Linked DNA regions of Canis lupus familiaris. The protein of the gene in region 2 purifies or fractionates together with the protein of the main gene of each other region. This does not show direct contact. Links are inferred from orthologs where the notes say so. Each region holds a gene or a part of one and is shown on either strand. Other genes may lie near its edges. The genes, in order: KPNA3, NCBP1, DDX39B, PABPN1, KPNA2, NCL and KPNA4.

The links.
Region 1: the proteins of NCBP1 (region 2) and KPNA3 purify together in Homo sapiens (co-immunoprecipitation; 3 studies listed by BioGRID and IntAct, with this or other methods). This does not show direct contact. The link is inferred for Canis lupus familiaris from reciprocal best matches to the Homo sapiens genes NCBP1 and KPNA3.
Region 3: the proteins of NCBP1 (region 2) and DDX39B purify together in Homo sapiens (affinity purification with mass spectrometry; 6 studies listed by BioGRID and IntAct, with this or other methods). This does not show direct contact. The link is inferred for Canis lupus familiaris from reciprocal best matches to the Homo sapiens genes NCBP1 and DDX39B.
Region 4: the proteins of NCBP1 (region 2) and PABPN1 purify together in Homo sapiens (co-immunoprecipitation; 3 studies listed by BioGRID and IntAct, with this or other methods). This does not show direct contact. The link is inferred for Canis lupus familiaris from reciprocal best matches to the Homo sapiens genes NCBP1 and PABPN1.
Region 5: the proteins of NCBP1 (region 2) and KPNA2 purify together in Homo sapiens (co-immunoprecipitation; 5 studies listed by BioGRID and IntAct, with this or other methods). This does not show direct contact. The link is inferred for Canis lupus familiaris from reciprocal best matches to the Homo sapiens genes NCBP1 and KPNA2.
Region 6: the proteins of NCBP1 (region 2) and NCL fractionate together in Homo sapiens (co-fractionation; 3 studies listed by BioGRID and IntAct, with this or other methods). This does not show direct contact. The link is inferred for Canis lupus familiaris from reciprocal best matches to the Homo sapiens genes NCBP1 and NCL.
Region 7: the proteins of NCBP1 (region 2) and KPNA4 purify together in Homo sapiens (co-immunoprecipitation; 3 studies listed by BioGRID and IntAct, with this or other methods). This does not show direct contact. The link is inferred for Canis lupus familiaris from reciprocal best matches to the Homo sapiens genes NCBP1 and KPNA4.

The regions. Positions count from the first base shown.
Region 1 is NC_049243.1:2,064,915-2,069,123, reverse strand, and holds part of KPNA3 (importin subunit alpha-4), read right to left. Parts: intron 2,822-4,209; coding exon 2,690-2,821; intron 1,748-2,689; coding exon 1,619-1,747; intron 1-1,618. UniProt on the Homo sapiens protein: Functions in nuclear protein import as an adapter protein for nuclear receptor KPNB1. Binds specifically and directly to substrates containing either a simple or bipartite NLS motif.
Region 2 is NC_049232.1:55,304,185-55,307,797, forward strand, and holds part of NCBP1 (nuclear cap-binding protein subunit 1), read left to right. Parts: intron 1-569; coding exon 570-684; intron 685-3,595; coding exon 3,596-3,613. UniProt on the Homo sapiens protein: Component of the cap-binding complex (CBC), which binds cotranscriptionally to the 5'-cap of pre-mRNAs and is involved in various processes such as pre-mRNA splicing, translation regulation, nonsense-mediated mRNA decay, RNA-mediated gene silencing (RNAi) by microRNAs (miRNAs) and mRNA export.
Region 3 is NC_049233.1:1,178,701-1,183,548, reverse strand, and holds the start of DDX39B (spliceosome RNA helicase DDX39B), read left to right. Parts: upstream 1-1,863; coding exon 1,864-2,074; intron 2,075-2,876; coding exon 2,877-3,004; intron 3,005-3,300; coding exon 3,301-3,393; intron 3,394-4,848. UniProt on the Homo sapiens protein: Involved in nuclear export of spliced and unspliced mRNA. Component of the TREX complex which is thought to couple mRNA transcription, processing and nuclear export, and specifically associates with spliced mRNA and not with unspliced pre-mRNA.
Region 4 is NC_049229.1:3,702,444-3,707,132, reverse strand, and holds the start of PABPN1 (polyadenylate-binding protein 2), read right to left. Parts: upstream 3,104-4,689; 5' UTR 3,096-3,103; coding exon 2,745-3,095; intron 2,396-2,744; coding exon 2,281-2,395; intron 1,560-2,280; coding exon 1,492-1,559; intron 1,230-1,491; coding exon 1,123-1,229; intron 260-1,122; coding exon 172-259; intron 84-171; coding exon 1-83.
Region 5 is NC_049230.1:14,375,228-14,379,313, reverse strand, and holds the end of KPNA2 (importin subunit alpha-1), read right to left. Parts: coding exon 4,034-4,086; intron 3,775-4,033; coding exon 3,592-3,774; intron 1,996-3,591; coding exon 1,846-1,995; intron 1,001-1,845; coding exon 908-1,000; 3' UTR 654-907; downstream 1-653.
Region 6 is NC_049246.1:43,513,781-43,517,989, forward strand, and holds the end of NCL (nucleolin), read right to left. Parts: intron 4,091-4,209; coding exon 3,933-4,090; intron 3,456-3,932; coding exon 3,332-3,455; intron 3,087-3,331; coding exon 2,953-3,086; intron 2,822-2,952; exon of another isoform or gene 2,743-2,821; intron 2,367-2,742; coding exon 2,240-2,366; intron 2,169-2,239; exon of another isoform or gene 2,034-2,168; intron 1,856-2,033; coding exon 1,632-1,855; intron 1,442-1,631; coding exon 1,365-1,441; 3' UTR 960-1,364; downstream 1-959. UniProt on the Homo sapiens protein: Nucleolin is the major nucleolar protein of growing eukaryotic cells. It is found associated with intranucleolar chromatin and pre-ribosomal particles. It induces chromatin decondensation by binding to histone H1.
Region 7 is NC_049255.1:26,770,142-26,774,350, reverse strand, and holds part of KPNA4 (importin subunit alpha-3), read left to right. Parts: intron 1-1,591; coding exon 1,592-1,687; intron 1,688-2,429; coding exon 2,430-2,515; intron 2,516-4,209. UniProt on the Homo sapiens protein: Functions in nuclear protein import as an adapter protein for nuclear receptor KPNB1. Binds specifically and directly to substrates containing either a simple or bipartite NLS motif.

The DNA.
Region 1 (4,209 bases), on a different chromosome or scaffold from region 2:
GCTCAGTTGGTTAAGTGTCTGACTCTTGATTTTGGCTCGGATCATGATTTCCGGGTCTTGGGATTGAGCCCCATGTCAGGCTCGGTGCTCAGTGAGGAGTCTGCTTGGGATTCTCTCTCCCTCACCCTCTCCCCGCAAATTGTGCTCACTCGCGCACAATCTCTCAAATAAGTAAGTAAATCTTAAAAAAAAAAAATGCTGAGGGAATAAAATCGAGTTTTATTCTACTTTGAGGATCCCATAATGATCCCAAGTGCAAATAACACAAATGCTCAAAGGTGAAAAACTTCTGAGGAGACTTAACTGGCTGCTGAGGCTTAGTAGCTATCTATGTGAACCCTTTCCCTTTCCCCAGTGATAATTTCACTTAGAGCTTATCGATCACAGGCCAGAACTTCTCTGCACCCACTTCTGTCCAGCTTTCTCAGCTCTGTTTCCAATTATGGAATACATTTAGCTGTAAAAATCACCTATATTACTGAAATTTCTACAGTAAAAATTTAACTGGCCCAGAGTCTAAAAGACTCTGCCCTCTTTCCCTTCATTGGAACAAATGTATTCATAAAATGCACTTTTTGACAATATAGTTTTCTTAAGAATCCAACAGTTGAATTATAGTTGAGTTACTATATATAAATATAGCTACGACACAGAAGAAATGATCAATTTTGCTGGTTTTGGGGATGGTGGCATTTTAGGCAGAAAAAACTACATTAAACTAAATGCAAATCAAAACCACCAGACATCGTTTCACAACTACTAGGGTGGCTATAATAATAATTTTAAAAAAGGAATTGGAACCCTCATACAGTGCTTGTGGGAATGTAAAATGGTACAGCCGCTACGGAAAACAATTTGGCAGTTCCTCAAAAAAGCTAAACATAGAATTACCATATGACTGGGCAGTTCTACTCCTAGATATATACCCAAAAGAACTGAAAGCAGAGACTCAAATAGACACTTGCATGCCAGTGTTCACTGCAACATTATTCACAACAGCCAAAAGGTAGAAAAACTCCAAGTGTCCATCAACAGATGAATGGATAAACAGAATGTGACATATATGTACAATGGAATACTTATTCAGCTATATAAAGAAATGAAGTTCTGACATATGCTCCAACATAGATGAACCTTAAAAAAATTCTGCAATGTGAAATAAGGCAGACACAAAAGGAATAAAGAACTTAAGTATATATTTAACAATTAATAATAAGGTTGTATCTCAAGTTTGAGATTTTTAAAAAAGACTTTTTGATCCTTTAATTTAGGCACTGTTTCTTTTTGGTCCAATTTAATTTCATAAAGAGATTAAATTATGATCTGTTTATAAAAGATACCAGCCATCCAATGAGAGATTTCATATGTATTCTCACATACTGGCTACTGTTTTACTGGTTTTTGCTACCACCCAATCTATTTACGTAAAAACACTGATTATTTTATCAGGGCAGCACTTATAATAAAATACAGGGGTGTTTTGAAATAATTCTCATCTTAACTACAGTGGTTTTGAAGAAAATCATGATCAAACCAAAGCAACAGAAAACAAGGGGACAGTTAAAAAGAAATATATAGAGAGAAAGAAATGCACCAGTGAGGCTATTATATGCCTTACCTTATTTATCTTCTCTTTTGGGTGTGATAAGAGATTTGGAAAGTGTGACAGGACATCACAGTTGAGAACAACCTGGGTCTGCTCATCAGTGCCAGTCACTATGTTGCCAACTGCTCTGAGTGCTGCTGTCTGGGGTGGGGAAAAATACTTTCTATAAATTTGTTTATGATGAAAGGATTTTGTATTTTTCATAATCCCAGGAAAATGTAAAAATGCAAGGGGTGAATGATTGACACTGTATTCTTACACAAAGTACTATGTAGAACCGAGAGGCAATTTTGAATTATAAATAGGTCTTATAAAAAAATGGAATTATATAGAAAAACTATGAAAAACTGCTGAGAAAAGATTTAAAAAATACAAAGAAACAAAAATGTAAAAAGTAAAGGTTCATTTTAACAATTGTCTTTTTATCTATTACTAAATTGTACCACAGAAATATTTTATTAAAGGCTTGGGATGGGCACATATTTCCATCTAGACAGTCACTTTTGCAGAAGTGGAATGAATATCAGCCACCCAACAGTAATTAGAGTGAGGAGAAAGGAGAGAGGAGGAAATGCAGTTTAGGATGCTGTTGCAATTATCTGGAAGGGACAAAAAGACTCTTGAACTGAATCAGTGGCTCTAGACACATAAGGAGTAGATAGATTTGAACGCTATATATATAATAAGAATTAACAGGACTTTGTAATGGAGGGGAAATGAAAGAGGAATCAGGTTTCAAGCTTGGGCTGTGTGGTCTATTGAAAGGGGATATATAAAGACGGGAAGGTTTGTGGGAGAAGATGATACATCTTAATTTTGTCTGGTCAAAATGGCAATGGGATGCCTGAAGGAATTCTTGGAGGAGATGTCTAAGTGCTCAAGGACAATTGGCTATTATGAGTCTGAAACTCAGTCTGGGTCAGATAAAGCTTTGGAAACCAGCAAAATCAGATGCAGTAAAATAGAAGAGAAATATGGAAGATATATGCACAAAGACAGAACTGAAGCCTGGTTGTTCAAGTTTTAACAGATTACATAGCAAACATGATTCTATACAAGTGAGAAAAATTTTAAAATACTTACTTGAACTTTCACTTCCTGGTGGCTCAGAAGGGGCACAAGAAATGGTACAACCCCTGAGTCAATAACCATCTGTATCTGCTCATTACCTCCATCTGTCAGGTATGATAAAGCCCAAACAGTATCAACCAGAATCTACAGGAAGTAAAAAAATAAAAAAAAAAATTACGAGTGTAGGTATTTGTTTGAATGCTTAAAATACATTAACATACATGAGAGGTAGTGACATAAAAAGTAATTAAACTTTAGGTTTTAGCTGGTGGCAAAAATATTTGCTTACCTGATTAAATCTACTAGGCAGCAGAGAACTCTCCCAATGCCTACCTCAGATCATTCTTCACAAAAATGAGACACAGAAAGAAGTCTGAGACAACTTCTACCCTAATTTCTGCATTTATATATTAGATGGATGAATTTAAAAACTGGCAGGGGGCTCCGGTGGTTAAGTGTCCAACTTCTGATTTGGGCTCAGGTCATGATCTCAGGCAGGTGAGATTAAGCCCCACATCAGGCTCCATGCTCAGTGGAGAGTTGAGCCTGCTTGAGATTCTCTCCCTCCTTCTGCCTCTCTCTCTGCTTGAGTTCACTCACCCTCTTTCTCTGTATCTCTAAAATAAATAAATAAATCTTTAAAAAAAAAAAAAAAAAACAGGCAAAAAAGTTTTTCTCTCTGCCCAAGCTGAGTACCTAATAATTACAAGGAAACACTTTATATACAGAACAAGACCATATACCAGATGCTTCAAGTCTATCCAAAAAGATACCAATGATTTTCAAACATATTTAACAATATAAATAATTTTTCAGGTTATTAAAGTAAACAGACAAAAGAAGCAAGTTGGCATTTTAACTTTGGGGGAAAGTTTAATTATTTGCAAAGCCCTTGAAAAAGGCCCTCAAGTGAAGAGCAGAGAGTGTAGGCCATGCCCTAAACCCATCTGATTTTGAAAATAATATAAGAGCAAAAGAAAGCCTCAGGTTTGCTGACTTTCTCAAAGTCAGAGAGTTCATATGTAAGCACAGGTCTTATCTCATGTAAAATCTGGAGATGTTTCTTACTAAGGTATCCAAATTAAAGAACGCTGCTGCTGCTTTAAAATAATGCTACCTGAATTAAAATCCAAATACATATGTGTCAAAAAGTATAGAGATGAATAAAAACAGCAAATAAAATCACATATGGAGGCACCAGGGAGGCTCAGTTGGTTAAACATCTGCCTTTAGCTCAGGTCATGATCTCAGGGTTCTGGGATCGAGCCCCACATCAAGCCTGTTTCTCCTTCTGCCTTTTCCCCCTGCGTGCACTTTCTGTTTCAAATAAATAAATAAATAAACAGATAAATAAAAAAATAAAGATAAATAAATAGATAAGTAGACAAATATATAAATAAGTAGATGAACAGATAAATGAATAAATACAGAGATAAATAAATAAATAGTTGCATAAATAAGTAAATAGGTACATAGATAAATAAATAAATAGATAAATAAATAAAAAGATAAATAGACAAATAAATAGATAA
Region 2 (3,613 bases):
TCTGTTTAATAAGCAATTTGCTGATAAAGTAGGTGACACATATTATATCTCATTCTCAAAGGCCCAGCAGTTGATAGATACTGTGAACTAGTAAGTTTCTTAAATGTTCCAGGGAATTGGCTGAATGTATGCTAGTAAGTAGCATAAAGCATGTGAAATGAGCCTCAGATTAGGTTTTCCATTTTGAAGACAACTCCAATACATGATGTTTAAATTTAGAAGAGAGAAAATAATATTTTTGTTCCTAATGTAACATACTTTTTTCTGGTTTGCCATTTCGCTTCATTGAGTATGTACACATACCTTCTATGCATCTCTAGTAAGGGATGGAAATAAAAATGACAAGGACCCAGTACTACCTTCAGGAAGCTTACCTGAGTCTAATGGTTAGAAATAGAGTTTGCACAGTTAATAATACAAAAAATTTTAAGTGTTACGGAGAAATATGACTAATTCTGGCTACTGAAGAGTGGAAGACCTTCAGAATGAGTAGGTCATACAAGTTGAGAGGTCTTATTTTCTGTAAGTGTACTTGAACACGCAGTAACTAAATGTTATGTTACTTTAAGATTGTTTGTTTGGGAAATTTTGCACTCCACAATTCGTAAGATGAACAAACACGTTCTCAAAATCCAGAAAGAGCTAGAAGAAGCTAAAGAAAAACTTGCAAGGCAACACAAACGGGTAAGTCTTCTGCTGGTTTGCAAATGGTCAAAGAAAAGATGCCAGAAACTCTTAAAAAATTCAAAGTTCATTACCTTGATGGGAACTTTTTTTGTTTTGTTTTTTGTTGGGTTTTTTTGAGGCCAAATTATGCAGACTATTGTAGAAGTAGAGGGAGAGGAAGGACCTGGGGGTGTGTTGCTCCCTGCTGTTCTCCTGTGTGATAAACCTGGAAGGAAGCCACAAACCTTGCTTTTCCATACTTCTCTTTGAATCCACTTCATGTTTGCCCTTCCCAAAAGGGAAGGCAGAGAAGGAAAGAGGACACTTGTATTTCTCTAAGAGTTTCTGGTGCAAGAGGAGACAGGGAGACTGTGCACCACTTCCCCAGCACTGTGGAAACCTTCCCTGGTTTATGGAATACTTCTCATATTAAGAAGTATGGTTAGCCATTTTGGGGGGAAGCAATGAACTATGTTCCATGATTTTGCATAATAGTACTACTAGTGTTTATGATAGTATTTTCCAGTGATGTGCATATTTACCAGAGTAGGTGGAGACAAATGTAATGACTTACCTGAACCTACAGCAGGTTCAAGTGCTAGTCTCCACATACATTCATATATGTGTATGTATGATATATAAACATACATTCACAAACTTAAAACACTGCGAGGTAAATGATATCATCCCCATTTAGTAGATATCCAAATTGAGGCTCAGAGAACTTAAATAACTTGTTCAAGCTTACATGGTTAATAAGTGACAGAGGTTGGGATCTGATCCAAGCCTGTCAAATTCCAGGGACTTCCCTTCATGCCACACCATTCTCTAGATATGTGGTGTCCAACACAGTACCTGCTACCACATCTAACTAGAAGTTAAAAATCAAATACAATTTAAAATTCAGTTTTTTAGTCATATGAACCCCATTTCAAATGCTCAACAGTCATGTATGGCTAGTGGCTACTGTGTTGGGCAGCACAGATTTATGTAACGTTTCCCTCATCACAGGAAGGTCTACAGGCAACAGTACTATAGAACCTAGCCTTAGTGTGGTATAGGAAAAAGACCACCATCTACCCAATTGCCTACAAGATAAGGCAGGTGCTACGTTAGAGATAAAAGAATTTTGTAAAAACGGGGAGGTTCTGATAACTTTGTCTAAAGGGTAGAAGGCAACCATCCCAGAAGGAGTATTGCCAACAGTGTTATCTAGGAGGAAGTGGGTTTTCCAGGTCTGGTGACGCTTACTTTCTTACTCAGAGGACCAAAGGACTTTAGTATGTAACATACCTGGAGTCAGGTTCTAGCTCAGCTGCTTACTAGCTTTATGACACTGAGAAGGTCATCTAACAACTAAATTAAAAAGACAACACCTAAGTGAATGCTCTAAGTTCTTCAGGGTGAGCTGGAAGGGAATTGTTAAAGCTTAATAGAGTTGTATTGAGCCCATCATTGCCAGCGGAAGCTTGAACGGTCTGCTTTGAGTTATATGTAGTCGGAGCTATTTCTAAATTATTGCAAGGATGAGCAGGTTCTCAAGCTGTATGCCATTCTGCCCAGCTTTTCTATATGGCCCGTTAGATGAAAAACTGGCACACTGCCTCTCTCTTGTTACTGTTGAGGCCATATGGCTATGTATTAGTGACTCAGTTGTTTTGCTGGCCATCTACTTTGTTGAATGAGCAGTAGCAGAGTTATAGGAATATACTGCCTGTCCTCATTATTTGCGGGTGCTGATTTTGCAAACTCACTAAACTTTGTGACCTCAAAAATCTATATTCGCAGTGCTTTCCCCGTCATTCAGACATAGGCAGAGCAGTGAAAATTTTGAGTTGCCCAGTGAGCTTGTTCCCAGATAAGGTTGAACAAGGCAATACTCTGCCTTGTTTCAGTTCTCATACTATTTAAAAAAAAAAAAAAAAAAAAAAGGATCCTTTTCAAGGTGTATTTAGTGCCACATTTGAGCTTTTGTCGGTGACTTCACTGTTGAAAATGGCCCTGAAGCATAGGGCTGAAATGCTGTCCAGTAGTGCAGGAAGGCTGTGAGGTCTCTGACAGTAAAAATACGTGGATTACATGAGCTTCGTTTGGTGATGAATAACTGTGCTGTTGGCCATGAGTTCAGTGTTCACAAATTTAACAATAGGATAGATACATTCAGAAAAAGGAAATTCACCAATTGTACCTAGGCTGTTCCATCAAGTTCTAAAAAAACATCTGTAATGCTGTGGTAAAAGCAGCTCAGTTTGTGGATTCATAAGACAATGACTGATTTTTTTTTTTTTTTTTTTTTTTTTTTTTTGACAATGACTGATTTAAAAAAAAGTGGACAGCCAAAGAAGTTGACAGTCACATTACTCGGGGTCAGGAAAATGTTAAATCTTTCTCAAGCAGTTTAAGTATAAAGAAACATTGTATATAATTGTAAAACATATATTAAATAAGCTATCTTCAAACAGAAACACACATAAGGTTACGTATGGATCAGTTGACAAAAATAAGCCAAAAGGCTCCCAAGAACCTAACCCTGGATTTCCCTAAGCAGTGGCTCAGGGTTCCCAGCAAATGCATAAACAGAACTATGGTGAATAACAAGAATCTGCTACACACTTTGCATGGAGCTCAAAGCTGTATTCATTTTGAATGGAAGAAAATGTGACACACACTTCCTCCCTGAATGGGCTACCTTGTAAAAGTTGTAACTCATCATCCAGGACAGGTGCCACTAAGGATGGCCTAGCTACGTGCCTGCAGGCCTTTTGGGTGTATGCGTGTGCCGTCGGGGTGGTGGAGTACTTTCACCAGAGAATACAGGCTTCAAGTGGCATTTGACCAGACACAAGAACATCCTTCCCTTTGACTTAGTGAGATTTAATATGCTGGAATTCTAAATGGTATTTTCCTTTTGTTCCTGTGCATCTTGCAGCGAAGTGATGATGATGAC
Region 3 (4,848 bases), on a different chromosome or scaffold from region 2:
CTGGGGAAGGGGTAGGGGAGGACCCGCGGGCGCAGCGCCGGCTCACTCCCTCCCCTCAGCTGGGGTCAGACTAGCTCCAGCGAGGACGCGCCGGTCACCTTGACTACCGGGCGGAGGACCCCGTGGGAACTCTCAGCCCCGCCAGCCTGTTGCCGAGCGGGGCGCCCACGGAGGGGTGACCAGAGAGAAGACCTGCCGGCAAGAACCCGAGGGAAGAGGTGAGGGACGCGGAGTGGACGAGGACAGAGAAAAGAGGTAACAGTGGGAGACGATGCTAGTTTCCTTCAAGGCTTTTGTTACTTGCAGTAGCGAAGGAGTTAGAAGTGCCTTTAAAAAAAAAAAAATCCACACAGGCGTTTTCTAAAGGCAACCCCGGAGCGCGCGGAACTCTCGAATCTGAAAGGGTCTTCTTCCGGTCTCCTGCGCCTGCGTGCTGGCAGGCGGGAAGGCGAGGCGCCTGGGAGAGAGAAGGCGAAAACCGGAAGTGAAGGCAGAGTCCCTCTTTCGTCGCTGCTGCCGCCGCCATATGCGCTCGCCTTGCTCAGGTAAGCTTTGGCCTTCGGTATCATCCGCCTCCATCTGCGTTTCTTTGCGGCCATCCTGTTCCCTGGACTCCTGATACCCCTTCCACAGACTATAGTCTGGTCCTTGGGGCCTAGTTGGGTCATTATTTCTATTGCTTGCATCCCTTTTCAGAGCTCTTAAGAGTTTCTGGAGGGGGGGGTAGCGATGCTAGGGGGCCCAATCCAAGATGGTGGCCCCAGCGCCATTGTGTTCCCTTCGCTCACTGCTTCTTCGCTTGGGCTTCTCGTTTATCCGAGGCCCTAGCTATGGTGAGAGGCGGCGTAGATGTCCTCTAGTCCAGGGCATTTGCGGAGGGCGGGGCTCCTTTCACTTTTCCTCTCTTCTGTGGGTCCTCTTAATGGCCCAAGGTGGGAACTGGAGGAGGAGCCGACTACTGAGCCTGGTTGGACCCTTCTGTGAGCTCACCAACCATCACTTGGAACATTTTCCACTTGTTCATGCGTGGTGTCATGTCGGTTATCGGAGAGGAGTCTGATCTGAGGAGTAACAGAAGACCCTTTGCTATAGTTCCTGGTAGAGCTGGAGCGAATGCTGTCTCTCTCTCGTTCTATGGAGAAGAGACGAGTACTTTCCCGTCCCAGCCACGTCTTCTGTATCCCCTCCCCCACGTTACACGGGGACCCCTTAGACACCGGGAGGTTCCTGAGGAGTGGGAGGTGGATGGCAGCCACATGATGTTATTTCGAGGAGTGAGCGCTTTGCGCTAGGATGACCTTAATCTATCACCAGTAACTGATGGCTGCTTTGTTAGGGAGATTACTAGGAAAGCAGAGAGGTCCTGTGAGGATTTTCAGCACTTACCTTGTCATCTCCATTCTTCACTCCGTTGTCCTACTTTGCTTTTCGTTACCCGTTTTTCTTCATTACTGTTGCTTACAGATGAGGAATTCATGGGCTGGTTGTCCCCTTCCTACTTCCTGCTTAATGCTATTCTGATCCTAATTTTGTTGAAAAGTTGTGTCTCAACCACCTCACTTGGGACCACTGTGTTATGTTTGCTGTTGCTTTTATGTTTTGTGTTCCTGTTAGTTTTATCCCCAGGTAAAGGGGTCACAGTTTAGGGAAAGTGGGAAGAGTGTGGGGATGGAAAAGAGGGGCGAAGGCTCTGCTCCTGACTAATAAGTCCTCCATCTATTTTTTTCCTAGCTCTTCTATCACAAACTAGGGTATTTTTTTTTTTTAACTGTTGCTCCAGCCCCCACTCTCCTCCTCTGTTTTTACTTATTCTGCGTGAACCCATCCAGAGACCCATCTCCTTCTCCCCCTGCCGGCCCAGTTATGGCAGAAAATGATGTGGACAATGAACTCTTGGACTATGAAGAAGATGAAGTAGAGACAGCAGCTGGGGGAGACGGGTCTGAGGCCCCTGCCAAGAAGGATGTCAAGGGTTCCTACGTCTCCATCCACAGCTCTGGCTTTCGTGACTTCCTGCTGAAGCCAGAGTTGCTCCGGGCCATTGTTGACTGTGGCTTTGAACATCCATCAGAAGGTAAATTTTCTGCAGGTCATAGTGTTCACTAGGCTCTCTAAGGATACAAGAAAAAGGTGTGTTAAACAGTCACTTAATGTAATAACGTTCTTATTTAGGCTACTTTAGGAAATAAAGGTCAAAAACTATTTCAGCAGTAGGAAAGATTTATATAGATTGGTTTTTTTGTTCACGATAACATGAAAAGGCTAGTGACCTAAAAGCAACTTAGAGGTTTGTGCTTGTGACCAGCATTTATTCTTGTCTACTTGTTATTAATTTTGTTGTTTAGGTTTCTAAATTTGAATTTCCTGAGAGGACTGGTTGGACCTTTAGTCTCTCCCTGTTGGGCCAGGCCACCTCTGGTCTCTGGAAATCTTCATAGCTGGTCTAAAATGGGTGGCTTCTGGATCAGCTACCAACCCCTTCAGAGTTGCAAGGTTTTGTAGCCTTAAAGCAAGGGAAGCTAAGTAGGAGAAATGGCTTGGGGCAGGCAGTCACATGTCCTGGATTGTTACAGATCAAGGAAAGTCGGGACAGAGTCAGAAGCACCAAAGGTGAACTGTTGGTAGGTGCAAGAGGGTTGTTTGCAGTTTGTGGGGTGGGGGGAGGGCACTGGAGTTGGAGGAGGCTAAAGCTAGAAGGAACTAGGAAGGTCTATCTGGTTTTGAGATAAATCTGAGGGAGCAGAGAGGTAGAAGGGGTCTGGAAATTGATAACCATTTAAGAAGGGGTGGGAAATGGGTTTGACATGGTGAAAAAAGGTTGTGGAGTTATCTGGAGACTGAAGTCTAATTTATCTTTTTTCTCCCCCTGCTTCTAGTCCAGCATGAGTGCATCCCTCAGGCCATTCTGGGAATGGATGTCCTATGCCAGGCCAAGTCAGGGATGGGAAAGACAGCAGTGTTTGTGCTGGCCACACTACAACAGTTGGAGCCAGTTACTGGACAGGTACACTTGGGGAGAGTGCTATGGAAGACATTTTTGGTTAGGAATATTGGAGAAGGGTGTTTTGTCTCAGCTGTGTGATGCTTTTAGAGCCATGAGTGTTTGTGGCTAAGATGAACTCTGTCACCTTTGACTGATGGCCCTGGGGGATATTACATAGTAATCATGGGGTTAATGGTTTAGATCTCAGAATTGAAGTAATTTATGATCTGTCAGATGTGCTTTTGTGACAGTTGGTTCCCCAGAGGGGATAGTAAGTATATACTGTTTATCTCCATGTACTCCCCCCTCCACCCAAGGTGTCTGTGCTGGTGATGTGTCACACCCGGGAGTTGGCATTTCAGATCAGCAAGGAGTATGAGCGCTTCTCTAAATACATGCCCAATGTCAAGGTAAGCCAAGATAAACCTGGGAGAGTGTGGGGAGTTGGAGACATTGAAGACTTGTAGACCAGCAGTCTTCATTTTCTCAGATGATTAATTAACTTTATATGAAGGTCATTTACTTGTAATAGCTGGTCAGTTTCTGCAAACTTTGGTGTGCAGGAGATTTACATTCTATGGTTTACTTGAATACACATTGCAATTTCTGATATGTTCACTATATTCCAATTTTGGAGAAGCTTTAGTTTGTTCTTAACACATCATGTTAATATAGCTAGCAGCGGAAGACTGCATGGAATGGGTTCTGGAGGATGTTTACCACAGTACTACACTTGGGTTTACTACTTTTTTATACTGACTTTGAATGATTTCATTGTGCTTTGGTTGACAGTTTGAGAATTCTAGGATGTGTGCAAGAGAAAGCTGGAAGCTTCAAAATATCTCTTTAAGTGTGTGGTGTGTGAATTTTGAGGATTCTTTAAAATGGCAGAAAATTGAAAGATATTTAGGGGCCACAACAGACGAGGTTTGGGCGGTTTTCCATATATGATCTTGATTTTCATAGTATGGTTCCCAGACCTCTAGTTAGAGCATCATTTGGAAGCCTGATGGAAATGCTGATTATATGGGTACCATCCCAGACCTAACTGAGTATAAACATGCATTTTATTTTGTTTTGTTTTATTTTATTTTATTTTATTTTATTTTATTTTATTTTATTTTATTTTATTTTATTTATTTATTTATTTATTTATTTAATTTATTTTTTAAACATGCATTTTATTTTTTTTTTTTTTTTTTTTTTTTTATTTTTTTTTAAACATGCATTTTAATACAATCTTCAGGTAATTGGAGTTTGAGAAGCGCTGATGTGTATAACCTCCTACCTTCCTGACTAGGATGTGGTGAAAAACAGTACTTTTGTTTGGATTGTTGTGATATTCTCCTGTTACTCATGTGTTGAGTCCTAGCCCTAAACTAAAAATAGTAATTCTTAAAAAAGATTTTATTTAAGCGAGCAAACACACACGAACGGGATGGGGTCGGGTGGGGAGGGAGGTCTAGGGAGAGGGAGAAGCAGACTCCCCCTCTAAGCAGGGAGTCCCACATGGGGCTATATCCCAGGACCCCTAAGATTGGGACCTGAGCTGACACTTAGCGGACTATGCCACCCGGGCACCCCTAAATTGGAAGTAGTCTTAAGAACCAAAGTAGTAATAAATAACAATGTGGGGGTAAACATGCAGTAAATATGCTGAAGTAATAGAAGGTTCATGATGAAAAGATTTGTGTTCTCTTACCTCTAATCGAACTTCATAGAAGGTAATCATTTGTTAACCTTTTTTTTTTCGTTATGGTTCTGTGACACCAAGTATTAGGTACTATTCTCTCGTTTTATAACCTTATGAGTGTTTTTTATTTCTTTTCATGAGAGATTGGTTGCGATTTTTTTTTATATTTGAA
Region 4 (4,689 bases), on a different chromosome or scaffold from region 2:
GTAGTCCGGGCACGGTATCGGGCTCGTGGGAAACCCCGGTCTGTTGTGCTGATGCCTGGTCTGTTGGTTCGTTTTGGGATCACCTGAAAGTGAGGGATATACAACAGAAAGTCTTAAAATAAGCCTGGAGAGTTTGCACAGAACCAGAACAGCAATGAGTACAGGGCTTACCTTGATTTGTCTTCCTCTAAATAGTGACTCATCTAAGGCCAAGGAAGTCCTCACTGACTCTTTGTCTGAGAACTCTATATACGCAAAACTGAAAAAAATAATTGTCATTTCATTCATCTGAAGTTACAGCAGCTTACACATCAAATCCAACTTGCAGGTATGCCTGAATAACAACAGGGCCACATATTTATTTATTGGTCAATTTTTTTTTAAAAAGATTTTTATTTATTTATTCATTCATGAGAGACACGGCGGGGGCGGGGGGTGGAGGCAAAGACACAGGCAGAGGGAGAAGGCGGCTCCATGCTGGTAGCCTGAGGTGGAACTTGATCCCAGGTCTCCAGGATCAGGCCCTGGGCTGAAGGCAGCACTAAACCGCTGAGCCACCGGGCTGCCCTGGTCAAATTTTTTTTAAATGGAATACTTCAATCTAAATTTCCACCTACTCTTAAGAAAATTATAAAATAGTATACAAACAGCCTGGATTGCTAAGCAAATGCTGTCCCTCCTTTTTCTTTTTTTTTTTATAATATTTTTTTTATTTATTTATGACAGTCACACAGAGAGAGAGAGAGAGAGAGAGAGAGAGAGAGAGAGGCAGAGACACAGGCAGAGGGAGAAGCAGACTCCATGCACCGGGAGCCTGACGTGGGATTCGATCCCGGGTCTCCAGGATCGCACCCTGGGCCAAAGGCAGGTGCCAAACCGCTGCGCCACCCAGGGATCCCTGTCCCTCCTTTTTCTAGTTCACAATCCCACTCATGCTAACCTTCATCTTTATGTTTGGTCTCTGAAGGCATTTACGTGACCCGATATGTATATGTGACACTAACGCCCTAACCATAAAACAAACACTGCTTATTTTAACAAGTTAACGCTGCTCAATACAAAACATTATTTATCTATTTCTAAGATGTGATTAAAACAACCTCATTTTACTTCTCTACTTACCCTTTAGGATGGCCACTAAATTTGTCACAGAGTATGGTAACACGGTTGACTGAACCACAGCCATGAAAGTGTGCTTCCAACTCTTCTGCTGTTGCACCATAGTCCACCTGTGAGGGTAGAGAAGGTTATATTTCACAGGTACCCTGCCTATCCTCTCCAAAATCACATCAACTCTCGTTCTCTAAGAAGTTAATCTTCTCTTCCCAACCCCAGAGCCTCTGCTGATCTTCATTTCCTTTTACCTCCTCCAAACCCTCTCAATACTCCCCCAACCTACTACCTATCCTTGAAATATTCCTTAAGACTCCTATTAACCAACTCCCCAAACAAGAGCCTTCCCACAACCCCAATCAGGGCCCCAATACATACATTGCCAACATAAATGGAACGGGCATCAGCCTCCATCTTCTCTTCAATGGACATGATCACTGGGCCAGCTTTGAAGAAAAAAGAAAGGGAGGGGGGGGTGGCAAGAAACTGGTTTTCTATTTGACCAATATATGCATCACTACCACCACCACCACTACAGGGAAGGCAAAGATTTTGGTCTGTTGTGTTCCCTGCTGTACCCCTTACCAAGAATACTGTCTAGCACACAATAGATGCTTGGCTGAACATCTGACTAATCAAGCAACAGATTAACATATCCTTAAAAAAAAAATCAGAGAAAACAGTACAGGAATTTCTCTCCTGCTCCCAAATCAAGACCCTATTGAACAGCTTTGACTCAAATCATTTTTAAAGTGAACAAAATCAAGGGAACCCAAACTCAACAGTTCTAGGTTAAAGAGAAAGCCCTCTGCAGTCGAGTAGCTTCTTTTAGGACTCCTAACTAAAGGGTCTCCAACTAAAGGAAGAACTATGAGACTTGAAGGTCAAATGCCAGTTGGCAACGTCCACAAAGAGTAGAGGTAGACTAAAGAACAAAGAACACATTTGTAAAAAGGACAAAGAAAGGCACAAAATTACCATCATCAAAATAGAGATTCTTGCCTCACTAAGGTCAGAAAAAACACACAATGGACTATGACCCCAGCACCTGCCCAGTAATTGCTCATACAAGCAGCTCCAAGGTCCCGAGCATCTAATCCCACACAACCCGTGCTCGCAGAACCCTTCCGAGGACCCGGGCTCCGCGTGCAACCGCCGGTTACTCACCATTGCCTGGAGGTGGACTCATATTCATCTGTTTCTCTACCTCGTTCTGTAGCTCCTTTAACTTCTCAGCTTCTTCCTCCATCTCCCTGACTCGAGCTTTGATCGCTTCCAGCTCCTGTAATGAGTGGAAAGGGTATGGAGAAGAGCTTAAGAGGAACCAACGCAGGGGCTGCGCCCTGCTCTCCGTCCAAGCGCGGCCCCAGCCATGCTCGGCCATTTCCCTCGCCCCACGCGCGGGTCGCGATGAAAAGAAAAGCAAGCTACCTTCTCTGGAACAACACTAGGCACCCATAACGCCCGAATCAACCCGGCTGGGCCCCTTCTGGACGTCGAGGATCCGCGCCCGGCCCTGCCCCAGCCACGTTATTCCCCGCCCACCCCACCCCCCGCCTGCCTCCCGCTCGCCCGAGCTCTGGGCCTCCCGTGACACGGCCAGGCCTGCTCGCTCGCCCTCCTTCCCTCACCGGGTCCTCAATGGCGCCGTCCCCCGGGTCACCCTCGACCAGTCCCGGCTCCTCCTCCTCCTCCTGGCTGCCGGGGGCTCCCGAGCCAGGCCCAGGGCCCGGAGCTCCCGGGGGGGCGCGGGGCCGGGGCGGCTCCTCTTCGGGCTCGGGCTCCGGCTCGGGCTCCAGCAGCAGCTCCTCAGGCTCCAGTTCCTCAGACTCCAGGCCGTTCCCGTAGTCCCCTGCGCCCCCCGGGGCCCCCTCCCCGGCCTCCCCACCGGCCCCGGGCACAAGATGGCGCCGCCGCCCCGGCCCGGAGCCCCGACCGCCCGCAGCCCCCGCTGCTGCTGCCGCCGCCGCCGCCGCCGCCATCGCCGCTCAGACTGGGGCCCGCCGCCCGGCGATTGGAGAACAGCGCCGGGCACGCCGAGGATTCATTAGTCTAGCAACCTGCCCGTCACCACGAGCTAGGACTCCATTGGGGGATATTACTTGGCAATCAAATAAGACCCCACCCCTAAGGCGGGCTATTGCGCCAAATTCTCAAATCCCGGTAGGGGAGCTGGCCTGTCAATCAACATACGCCCCACCTCCTCTCAACCCCTTAGGTAACAATACCGCCACGCTGTGACGACATTCCTGCCTCCCCCCACCCCCACCTCCAGGCGGATCCGCGAGTATATGACGCTCGGTGATTGGCCGCTGGCTAGGGCGAGGAGACAAGGCCAATCTTCCGATCGCCTCGCAGCAATAGCCCTCTCGGATGCCGATTGGCTCGTGAGATTCGAAGGGCTAACATCCGTTTCGTGACAGGTGAACCTTGCCCCGCAACGGACGGCAAGGCTTCCAGCCATGGAAAGCCGAGGTCACATGACTAGTCCTTGGCGGGGGGCCGCCATCTTGACGCTACTGGTCGCCGGCTGGAGAGATGTTAGAAAGCAGTGGCTGGAAACGTTGAGGCGGTTTCTGTAAACTGGTTTGCTAACCAGGAAGCTACCAGTGGATGGAATGTTGCTGGAAATGGAGGTTCTGAATGGAGCTCTCCAGTAAGATGCTTGCTTTCCCCATCCAGGTACCAAAAGGTACCAACACCCATCAGGTCTCCCAAACCAGAAAGCAGGAAGGAATCTTCAGTCCAGAGCTACCAGTCCTGTCTGATCTGTCTTCCTTGTGCAGGCATACTTTCCAAGCCCGCTGCTCATGCCTCAGTTTCAGTTTGTTTCTTGGGCTGTTTGCTAAGCCCCCTAATAGATCTCTCAGCTTCCAGTGTCACTCTTAACAGTCCTCACCGCTACCACAGTGAGCTGGCTCCCCTTTGCTGGCCAGGTAAAAGTAAAACTGTACCGTGGCCTTAGAGACCTCAGGACCAGCCTACGTCACAAATGTTATTTCTACACTCCTCATTCCAGGGGGTATACCTGCACCCAGCTCTGTGCCTCTGTACATGAAGTCCCTCTTCAACCAGACCACTGCAAACCTAAGCATCACCGCTCGTGCAAAACCTTATGCTAGCCTCCTCTCCTTTCCCATGACTAGCAGGCCTACTACCTCCACTGTGCACGTAATCATTTTGTCCTGCATCCTGAGAATTTGGAGAGGAGAGGCTGGATCCTATTTATATTTGCAGCTCCACTGTAGGGCAATATGCTTGGCACATATTGTCAATAAATGTTTGCGTTGACCGGGAATCTGGGTGCCACCCTCATCTTCAACTCTTTCGCAGCCCCCAAACCTTCCTTCAGACCACAGAGGAATTCCTCCAGGCAGGTTCCCACCACAAGTTTCCACTCTGAGATAACCAATGAGACATCACCCTGGAAAGCAGGGTTGCCATATGTAGTAGTGATACTACACATTTATTTAAAAAGAAGAAACAAAGGTGCAAAGTTTGCAAGAGGGTTATTTGTAGCCGGACGCAGCTAGGGTTTGACAGCCAGATTCAAATGAGCCCAATCAAATTAATCAG
Region 5 (4,086 bases), on a different chromosome or scaffold from region 2:
TTCTACTTGTAGCTTGAGACTTCTAATTTTATATATATAAATAAATAAATATATATATACACATGTGTATATATATTAAATTTTATGTACATGTATATATTACACACACGTATATATAAACATCCTAATTATGATTAATATGCATACATATACACACATACATATATGTGTAGAATATGTGTATGTATATATGTATATATATATATTTTTTTTATTTTATTTATTCATGAGAGACACAGGCAGAGGGAGAAGCAGGCTCCATGCAAGGAGCCTCACTCCCTGGCCTCACTCTCACTCCCTGGCCAGTGAGATTTAAAGGAGATATTGGCTGAAGCCTTCTGGGAAATTCTGTTCATTTTCTTATGCAAACTTCTGAAAAATTCTATTCTGGCTGGAGTATAGTGGATATGAAGCTGCAAGTGCCAACAGCCATTACTGACAAAGAATGGAAGCAGCCTAGAGCAAACCCAGAGCTCAGAAGTGGGCAGAAGAGTTATGACTCCTTTATCTTTGAGGACATCACAAACCTGATATCAAATGTCATCTGCCACCAGAATTACACCTCTGGTTGGTCACATTGGTTTGGTTCTGTCACCCTTCATCTGCAATCTTAAGAACTCCAAATTAGAAAGTAATGCATAGGAACGGTGAGGTAGAGAAAAGGGTGGAATTTAATCTTTATTTACAGGACACTGTAAGATAGAAGATTCCACATAGAAATAAGCAACCCACTGAGAGGAGGAGCTTCATACAGTTTGTACAGTTCAGAACTGGTCAAGTATAGTTTCGTTGTAAAAAGTGCTACAATAACAAAACACATTTAAAAAGAGTTCTTAGTAGAGAAACAGTAAGACAAACTTCTACCAAACAGTACACAACAAACAACTTTCTGTCTCAGCTGTACAATCTAAAAGTTAAAGGTCCCAGGAGTGCCATCCTGAACTTGGAATGTATAGCCTTCAGAGGTAGTTTCGGGCACAACATTCTGATCTTCCTCTTCCTGGAAGTATTAAAAAACAAAACCAAACAATATAATTTCACACACATAGCACATTTCTAGGAAGTAGCCTGCCTAGAAGTCTCTATTTACTCTTAAGGTCTTCATCTGCATATTATACTAATCAATGCCGTACCATATTTCAGTATTTGAAATAGTGGAGGGAAAGCTGCTGAAAACTTGCCAATTCAGGAGCGCCTGGGAGATGGAAGATTCCGAATGGACTAAGGAATGCTACCACAGCAGACTTTCTTCCCCACCTGTCACTTTTCCATAGGAAATGGGAAGATGGGGATCCCTGGGTGGCGCAGCGGTTTGGCGCCTGCCTTTGGCCCAGGGCGCGATCCTGGAGACCCGGGATCGAATCCCACGTCAGGCTCCCGGTGCATGGAGCCTGCTTCTCCCTCTGCCTGTGTCTCTGCCTCATTCTCTCTCTCTCTCTGTGACTATCACAAATAAATTAAAAAAAAATTAAAAAAAAAAAAAAAAAAAGGAAATGGGAAGATGGCCTATTAGCCCCAGAAGATGGCAGTGGGGTTGGCCCACTTTTCCATCATCTCCTATACAAACTTACTCTCAAGATACTCTAAAGTCCTTAAGACTGTTCATTCTAAAGAAAGAGGGGTAATTTTTAAAAAATTTTTTTTAATTTCTAAAGATTATATGATCATCAAGCCAAATATTTAAGAAGCAAAATATATATATACATTATGTCCTACTCACACTGATATTTTGCCATATTTAACAAGGTCACAGGGCTCATTTAAAAAGTATAAGGAAGAAAAAAATCTTATGGGCTTGACTTTGTGTATTTTCCAAATTCTTGTTAACTTTACCATGTTACTCACCTCTACAGAGAAATACTTCTCAATCAAGTTTAATGAAGCTTTGTACACAGACTCGTTTTCATGGTTTTGTAGAGCTTCAATTTTGTCCAAACCCCCACATTCTTCAATCATTATACTAAGTTTCTCAGTTTCACCTAGTTTCTCAGCAGCCTAAAAAAAATATCCAAGTTTAGTGGAATTTACTGAATGTTCTATTTTAATGAAAACCGTGAAAAAAAAAAAAAAAAAAAGGAAAACCGTGTTTATGTTTGGGTATTGATGGATCTCAGACAACCACTTTAAAGTTCCTTCAACAACCCTATGAGATGGTTTTATTTCCAGTTTACATTTTCAAAAAATTCAAGGTGATCAGATCTATACTTGTTCTTAACAACTACTTCTGTAGCTCTCAGCTAGATCTTACAGTAGGTCTCAAATCATTTCTATGAATCAAAATCACCTGGGCAACTTTAAAAATGTTATCATAACCAGGCAGCCCCGGTGGTGCAGCGGTTTAGCGCCGCCTGCAGCCTGGGGTGTGATCCTGGAAATCCGGGATAGAGACCCACATCAGGTTCCCTGCATGGAGCCTGCTTCTCCCTCTGCCTGTGTCCCAGCCATTCTCTCTCTCTCTCTCTCAATAAATAAATAAATTAAATTAATAAAAAATTAAAAAAAAAGAAAGTTTAAAAAAAAACAAAAATAAAAAAAAATAAAAATGTTACCATAACCAAGTTTGGTCTTTGATGGGAACAGAATATTACTGTTTTATAAAAGCACCTCAGGGGTGCCTGGGTAGCTCAAGCCAGTTAAGCATCTGACTCTTGGTTTCAGCTCAGGTCATGGTCTCAGGGGTTGTGGGACTGAGCTCCATTTTGGGCTCCACTCTCAGCATGGAGTCTGCTGAGATTCTCTCTCCCTCCCCCTTTGCCCCTGCCACACATGCTCAGGTTCATAAATGAATGAATAAATGAATGAATGAATGAATGAAAGAAAAAATCTTTTTTAAAAAGCACCTCTGATAACATCAAAGTGTAGTCAAGGTAGAGAACCATCGTCTAAGGACAAAGATGGCCTAAGGTGTATAAAAATAAACATCCCTGATTGGATTACTTACTGATAATCAAGAATTTATTAGGTATAAAAATGACATTGTGGTTTTAAAGTCTTCAAATTTTAGGATACATAAATTTTTACAGATTAAATAATTTATTTGCTTCAAAATAATTTAGAGGGTTTAGGTAAGAAGGAGTAGAAAAATAGGCCAAATGTTGACAATTTATTTATGCTGGGTGACAGATACACCAAGCATCATTATTCTAGACTCTTCTAGGTAGAATTTCCATAATCAGAAGTTTAAAGTCATTAGGTAGGACCTACCTATCCCCAACCACTGTGACAAAGTGTCATATGCTAGCATGCTCGGGTCAATTAGGAAGGGAATCAGAAAAAAAATAAAATGGATAACTAAGTCATCAAAATTTAATTTCACCATAATTCAGTAGGACATTGAAGAATTAAAGATTTCTGACAAAATAGATAGGAATGAATTGTGTCCACATATGGACTTGATTTAAATTCAGGTCATCCCCTTGTCATCTCCTTTAAATCTCTTATAATCCCTTGTCACGTCTTACCAAGAGTGTGGCCCACATAAGCAGCCTTTCTAATTCTGTGGCCTACTGAGCAAACTTAGCTGCCCTCCCGTGGGTTAAAATATCATCCATTACCATCAAGGCCAAGTTCAAATGCTACCTTATAACTTACCTGAAAGATGTTTGAAATGGCATCTAGAATAACCAGAATAATTTTGGTATCTTTTGCAGTTAAGAGGTTCATCAATGGTTCTATTATGCCACAATGAACGAGGTATACAATCTGTTCAACTGTTCCACCACTTGTATAGTTGGTCACAGCCCATACAGCTTCCTTTTGTGTCTTAAAGTCTGCCTAATAAGCATAAGGAAACAAGTTTAATTCAGAACAATTGTAAAAATAGGATCCCAAAAGTATGGTTATAGAAAAACAACTCTAACTACCAACAGATTCCATCTAATCTTAAGTGAAGGAGGTTACTGGCCACTATTTAGCAAAAGGACTCTAGGTAGAATCCAATATTGGCACATTAAGAATCTTATCAAGCACAGCTCTACCAAATGTCCATCCATAAATACTAACATTCTTTGACTAAATACTAAGACTTCATTACCTTAGAGAGAACACCAACGAGGAATGGGACTAATCCATGATTCACAACTTGCT
Region 6 (4,209 bases), on a different chromosome or scaffold from region 2:
TTCCACTGGCACTCTCACCCTCCAAGCAGGCCATCTGTCTACTCCCACAGTACTTCCAACAGAACTGGTTTGAGTCACAGGTATGTGGAGCTTAGATTTCCTCACCCCGTAGTGAAAATCAGGACAAAATCAACTGTCCATTTATTTGCTTTAGACTGCCTTCTAAGCTGAACAAATCCTCCCAGTGTAGAGTGTGTGTTTACACTATTTTCAAGTTTTTTTAAGTAACCTCTATATCCAATGTGGGGCTCAAGCTCACAACCCTGAAACCAAGGGTTGCATGCTCTACTGGCCAGGTGCCCCTTCTACAACTTGATTTGGCAAGGACTAGTATGATTCTAAAACAGTTGGTTACAATCCACGGGCTTTTGGATTTGGATAGCTAGGTTTAAGATCTCTGCTCTGAGGGCAGTCCCAGTGGTGCAGCAGTTTGGTGCCACCTATGGCCTGGGGTGTGATCCTGGAGACCCCAGATCGAGTCCCACATCGGGCTCCCTGCATGGAGCCTGCTATTCCCTCTGCCTATGTCTCTGCCTCAGTCTCTCTCTCTCTGAATAAAAAAAAATCTTAAAAAAAAAAAAAAAAAATCTCTGCTCTGTAGCATCTGGGGCACTGTTTAGTAATCCTGTTAATCCCTTGGCAAAGACTTTTCATGTGGCCCCTAACTTTTATTAGTAGAGGCAGAGGGGACAAGGAGTACTTAAATGAGGGCGTACTGAACATAGTGTTAATATCTAAGACCCTTCTCGTTAGTTTAACCTGAAGTTGTTGGAGGACTTACAAAAAATACAAGCCTTTCATGTTACCTTACCAGCCATTTCACCAAAACTTGTAGCCAGGATGCTTGAAACCAACTAATTATTTCCAGCAGGGGTGGTGGGCTGGATCTGGAGTGGCAGAGCTGGCTTTGCCATGCTCCACCTTCAGGGACAGTCCAGGAGGAAGTACAAGTCTGGCACCAGAGTTTAGGACTTTTAATTTGTCCCAAAGTTGCTGAAGCAAAAATCATGATAAAACATTCTGCTTTCCTTTACACCCCCCAACGCAAAAAAAAAAAAAAACAAAAACTATTTGTAGGAAAAAAATGGTTTTGTACATGGGAAGAAACAATATAAATTCAAAACTTACAGATAAGGATTAGCTCTATCACTCATCTCTTTAAAAAGTTTATATGAATATCCAGTCAAAACCAACAGGGTATCTCCCTTGAAATGTTATCTATACGAATTTCCAAGTAGACCACAGGACTGCATACTGTCTTGGAATGTCCTCAGAAGGCTCTGTCATTGATCAGGTAACAGAGTAAAAACCCCAGAGTCCTTTTCTTTCAAACAGAAGAGGAAAAGACAGAGGGATGGAAGAAACTATTCAAACTTCGTCTTCTTTCCTTGTGGCTTGTGGTCTCCCCCTCCTCCTCTGCCTCCTCGGAAGCCTCCTCGCCCTATAGGAAAGCAAAACATCATTAAAGAATGAGTACAAAGCTGCCAGGAGTCCTCCCCTCCCCAGAGTGATCATATGAGAACTTGGGAGATTGATCCAGGGAACCCGGAGTTCTGAGCACATTCTGAAGTGCATATGCCACACAATGTTCAATGCATATTACAAGGAAGTCCCTCCCCCAGCCTCCTTACCTCCAAAGCCTCCCCGGCCTCTGCCACCAAATCCACCTCGGCCTCCTCTGCCACCACCTCGGCCTCCAAAGCCACCCCGGCCTCCACCACGGCCTCCAAAGCCACCTTCACCCTTAGGTTTGGCCCAGTCCAAAGTAACTTTGTTTCCATCTATTTCACCATCTTCCATGGCCTCCTTGGCAGCTTTGGCATCTTCCTCACTGTTGAAGTCTACAAAGCCAAACCTAAAATGCAAAATGAAATTGCCCATTATACAACACATACCAAAACAAGTGCCAAGATTAACCTCACATGTTGAATAGTGATCCCATAGGAAGTAAACTTGCTCAACTAAGACACAAGTAATAATAGTAGCTCCCCATAGAAGATCAAAACTGGTTTTATTGACTGCTTGAACCTCAGAGATGTCTCACAAAACAGCAACATATACCTCTGTGAAGACAGAAGGTAAAATAATGCTAACTGTGAATTGTCTCTTCTTCTCGTGCGAATCCATAAACTGCCACCAATTGACAGAAAGGAGCTCAATGAGAAGATACGCTAGATGGGGGGTGGGGGGGTGTCTCTACTTAGGCAGACACTGAACATTCATTCCTTGATCATCTTACCCTTTGGAGGACCCAGTCTCCCGGTCGGTGACTATCCTTGCCCGAACAGAGCCGTCGAATGACTCCTTTAATGTCTCTTCTGTGGTATCCTCAGACAGACCTTTGACAAACAGAGTTTTGGACGGCTCTACGGAAGAAAAATTGTACATTTTACCTAAAGCCACAATTCTTAACTGGATGCTGGCTTTCAATAATGTCCAGTATGGAACTACAGGCCAAGAATGCTCATCTTAGCAGAAGCTTGCTTTTCACCCAAAAGCTGTTTGGAAACAAAAACAGGTAAAAGAAACTTAGCAAACTAGTGCTTAATTAAAATATAAGTCACAGATCACCACCATCTTAAGCTTACAATGATTACCAAAACAGCAGAGATCCGGTCTCAGATCCTTTATGGAAAGCAGGAGCAGCAATGCAAATAAGTGGCAATCTCTAAGCAGACAGCTTTTATGATCACCGCACAAGGCAGTAACCAGAGGCAGATGTGCTGCTCAGAGAAGACATAGCTGGATCAGAACTTGACTATCTAGAGGAATTTTCTTGATTTCATCAATTATTTTCTCAGATAATCAGTCATCATATCCAGTATCCTTCACTCAGCAACAAGAGGAAAACACAAATGTCCAGCTCTAAATTGGACAAAAAAACAACCAATGCAGCATAGCACACTAAGGAGTGCTGACCCACACCACCACACCCTAATAAATATAACTTACGGCTTCTTGCATTAGGTGATCCTCTGGGTCCTTGCAACTCCAGTCTGATTGCTCTGCCTTCAATTTCCCTTTTATTACAGGAATTTAAAGCTTCTTTAGCATCTTCAAATGAAGCAAATTCTATAAATGCATACCTGAGGAAGAATAATCAATACTCAGAGCAAGTTACCAAGCACACGGTTCCTATATTATCTAATGCCACCAAGCCTTTTACCTCAAGAATATACCTAAATGATACTCTTTAAACCAACTTGTGGAGGCTTATAGGATTCAGCTTCCAGTAACATCCAGGAAAAAATTTACCTTCCCCCCTTCTTTAGATCTATGCAAAACATTCTTAGAGCCCATAGTTGATAACCTAAAGATGTAATTATTTTACCCTTTTGATTTGCCATTTTGGTTCTGGGGCACTTTAATAAAAGTTGCCTTCTCAAATACTTCCTGAAGGGTTTCTTCTGTTGCACTGTAGGACAGATTGCTTAAAACCAGTGTTTTTGATTCACCTACAAAGAAAAAAAATGCCAAATGAAGACTGAAACAATGGTCCTAAAGTTTAGACACAACTAGAATACCTTATTCAAGAACTTCTACACTTGCAAAGAGTTATCAACATGACAATGTCGATGCAGGTGGACTTCCACCTGTTACTAAGTATTTATTACTAAGTATTTGTCATGCAGTTTCCTCCCTGTTACCTAGAGATGTAAAAAAATATTGGTCTACATCCTCCTAGAATATCTAGATTATAATTTAAAAATGCACACCATCTAAGCTAAAGTATAAAACACACAAAAGCTAGATTTGTCTGTGTTCTAAAACAAAATGATTTTGTATAGCTTTTACTCAAGAACTGAATGATCATCACTACAGAGGCATAACTTGTTTGATACCTACATACATCTAATTTATTAGTTAACTTAGGAAAGTTCAAAGATGCAAAGATTTCCCTCTGTCAATCCTGGAATTCTATAAATTCTTACCACTCCAAGTGCTATTCTTTCCACCTCTGTAATCTTGACTTTGCCCCTTCTCTCCAGTATAGTACAGGGAAATAGACCGCCCATCTATCTCTGTTCCCTGCTTTTCTTCGAAGGTTTTCTCTGCATCAGCTTCTGTCTTAAATTCAATATAAGCAATCCTGCAAAAAGGGGGGGGGGGGGGCATAACCAACGCATTTTTATTTTTATTTTTATTTTTATTTTTTTAAAAAGATTTTATTTGTTCATGAGAGACAGAGAAGCAGACACAGGCAGAGGA
Region 7 (4,209 bases), on a different chromosome or scaffold from region 2:
ACAATACAGTTTTTGCTTTCTATATTTATAAATATGAGAATAATGCTCTGTGTATTAGTGGGACAGAGACACTTAAGTAATTGACGCTATTTATAGAATTTCATAGTGGGAAATTTCACTGGTCCATCGAATATCTTAGCTAGTGCATGTATCTTTTATTAAAAAATGTATTAGAGTTTTCCTACTTTTATGTATTCATTTTAAATAACCTGGAACAGATGGGAAAATTACAGCATTAACAGTGTTGCCCACTATGGGTAAAAGAACTTCTTAGAGAGGACTTGGTTATGTAGGGAAAAAAATCACAGAAGTATTCACATCTGAAAATGCAAATTAGTGTTTATAGATAGAATTATTAAGAAATTAATGCATTATGCTCACTATTTTCAGTAGATTATTTGAGTTTTGGAGCTTTTCTCAACAGAAGTTCTACAAGATAATTAAAGCCCTAAGGCCCCTAAGTAGGCAGATATTCTCAAATTATGGTCTTTGGGTCTCTAGTAGATCCTGAGACAACTTCAGGGGTATAAAAGATCAAACCCATTTTCACAATAATACTAAGACTTTATTTGCCTGTTTTAAATATGTTAACAATTTATATTGATGTTGTAAAAGCAACTAATTAAAACCTGATGGTACCATAGCAAAATCAAGTAGACAGTTATGCAAAACTGATTTCAAATATCTTGTAGATATTGTATGTGCCATTGTGCACACATAAGAGGGAAGGCCATTTCAAAATCTTTGAGAATGTCCTCAATGAAATAGTAGAAAAAATTTCTTTAAATCTGGAGCCTAGATTAAGAAAGACTGGGTTAGGGATCCCTGGGTGGCGCAGCGGTTTGGCGCCTGCCTTTGGCCCAGGGCGTGATCCTGGAGACCCGGGATCGAATCCCACATCGGGCTTCCGGTGCATGGAGCCTGCTTCTCCCTCTGCCTATGTCTCTGCCTCTCTCTTTCTCTCTCTGTGACTATCATAAATAAATAAAAATTAAAAAAAAAAAAAAAAAGAAAGACTGGGTTATTTCCTACTTTGTGCTAAGAATTATGCCATGTGCTGTGGAAAATACTGCAAAAAAGCTTGTGGCATAATTCTTGCTATATAAGAGCTTTAGAACCTAATTGAGAAGGCAAAGGCATGTTAAAAATAAGGTGATACTCAACAGCAAATGTAAGCATGTGCTGTGTAAATGTTCTTGGAATTTAGAGAGGATATTGTGAAAACATAAAAATTGAAATGGACTTTGAATAGACAGAAAGGAGGGCATTCCAAGTATGGGGAATGAGATGTTAAAGAGCCTGGAAGTGAGATTGAAAGTGTGAGACAGACAACTGATCTATTGTTGAAGTACAGAAAATAAGATTAGTTGGGTAAGATGGAGCCAACTGATACTTTAAGCCAGGGCAAGGAGTTTACATTTATTGGGTAGTAAATATGCAGCCATTTCTTCATTTTTATAGGGGAATGATCTGATTAAGCTTTTGCTGTGCGGGGTATTCAAATGGGTGAGGGTTTGTGTAATCTCTATGTCAAATATGAATTTGAATTTAATTACATATCATTTCACAAGAGTATGTATATCTCTTACAGGAAGCTTTTGTCCAGTGATCGAAATCCACCAATTGATGACTTAATAAAATCTGGAATATTGCCTATTTTAGTTCATTGTCTTGAAAGAGATGACAAGTAAGTACTTTATTTTAGAAAGAAATTTGGAATGTATCCTTTGCAGAAGACAAGATCTTCTAGTGGTTTGATCTTTAATGAAAAAAGAAAGGGGCTATAAGATGGAGTCGAAAAGCCAGTGTAAAACAATGAAATGCAAGGTGTGTTTACATTAAGAGGTAAACATAAAGGCCAAAGCAATACTTGAGAATGATGCATTTATCTTTTAAACTGTGAAAATTGGCAAAAGCTGGTTTGGCTGATTAGTACTTGAGAAAACTGGGCAGTAATATGCAGGTATCTTAATAAAGAGTTTTTAGGGCACCTGGTTGGCTCAGTCAGTTAAGCGTCTGCCTTTGGCTCAGGTTATGATTCTGAAGTCCTGGAACTGAGCTCCGGGTCGGGCTCCCTGCTTATTAGTAGAGAGCCTGCTTCTCCCTCTCCCCTTTCTCCTGCCCCCATGCCATTCATGCTCTCTCTTAAGTGCTCACTGTCTCTTCCAAATGAAGAAATAAAGTTTCAAAAAAAAAAAAAAGTTTTTACTAAAAATAAGTAGGACACTTGAGGAAATTGTGTGCTTTTTATACTGAAGAGATACTGTAAATACATTGGAGGTTTAAAAAAAAGTGCTGGATACATAAATACTTTCTGAAACAAAATATTTAATACTTGAAAAAATATTTGAGGGGAGGAATGGTTGGTAGATACTAGATTTGGACCAATGTAAAAATCCCTACTGTTTAAAATGATTTGTTCTTTGTAGTCCTTCTTTACAGTTTGAAGCTGCATGGGCTCTGACAAACATTGCATCTGGAACCTCTGAACAGACTCAAGCAGTAGTTCAGTCCAGTAAGTTGGTGATTAACAGATAAAATTGTGATTTCTAAAGAAGTTAGTAAAAAAAAAAAAGTGATTATCTTAAAAGAATAAAGCTATTTAGATTATAAAATAATAGCTACCCAATTACAGAGTAGTTGAAATAGGCCAGCTTAAGTATGTTACTTTGTCATTTTGTCCCAGTGACTGACATTTTCTGTTTTCAAAAATTCATTTAATGCTAAATCTGAGAACATTTCCTAATTATAGTAGCAGATTACATTATTGTAGTTATACTTCATTTATAGAAATCATAAAGTAAAGATGTTTTTTGCATTGCCATACTAGCTTTTGGCCTCTCTTAGGGAGATTTTCATCATATGGTTTAATCTTTTAGAAAATAGTCTTGAAAAATGGCTTGAAATTTTTTCATTGTTATTAGGATTGTTTTTCTTTTATGTTTCAAGAGATATAAGTGGGAAATTATTACTGGAAGAAATAACCTGAGTATTATTTTCATGAATACTGTTCTTCTATCAAAGAAATTAATAATTTATAGACGGTACTTTTAAAATACTCTTCACATGTGTAAGCAATATACTCGCATAAGCTTGTTAAGACCTTGGCACTAATTTCTACATGATTTTATTTTATTTTTTTTTCTACATGATTTTGAAGGGAAACAAAGGTGTTATCCAAGTAAACATTTTATCATGTAGACACTTCTGTTGTAATATTACATAGAATATTGACTACCCTAATACCTTTAAATCATGATAAAACTGGCTTAATTTTGGATTTTGCTTTTGGTTTTATTTTATATAATTGACTAGTAAATTTTATAATCTCAAGACAATGTTTTAATCTCTCTTTTTCTTTTCTGTTTTATGTGCTTTTTCAAAATCAGCAGGAGCCTTAGAATTTAACACTGCCAGTCTGTCTTGTTTTACCAAATATAATAGATGAATGATTATTTTTTATGAGTAAAGCATGGTTGATCCACATGTACTTAAATAGCATTTTTCAAAGTAGTATCGGAAGAAAGAAAAAAGAGAAGAATCATTTGTTCAATTTAGTATTATTTTGTTTGATACAGACCTCTCTCTATGTTTCCCATCCTCGTTATAAAGCAACAGAACCACTTTCTAAAAAAAAAAACAAAAACAAAAAAGAACCACTTTCTGATTCAGAAGGTCTCATGTAGTGACAGGAATTGCTGGTCTGCCAAAAGACCCATGTGATGTTATTTTTTTTTATTTTTATTTTTTTGTAATTGAAATGTAATTCACATATAGCATTAAATTAGTTTTAGGTATACAACATAATGTATGCACCAAGATGTAATTACTAGAAGTCTCATTTCCCCTAATATCATATCAGATTACATAATATGCAGTACAATATTATTGACTATGGTTACCATGCTAAACATTTCATTCTCATGACTTATTTGTTTTATGATTACATGTTTGTATGTTTTGACCCCTTCTATTTCACTCACCTCCTGAAACCCCTGCCCTGTCAACCATCAGTCTGTTTTCTGCATCTATGAATTTTTGTTTTGTTTGTTCATGTATTTTGATTGACAACAAATCATATGTTGTCTCTCTTTTTTGACTTATTCCACTTAGTACCTCAAGGCCCATTGATGTCCTGATTACAAGTATTTCATTTTTTTGGTAATGGCTGAGTATTCCATTGCGTGTGTGTGTGTGTGTGTGTGTGTG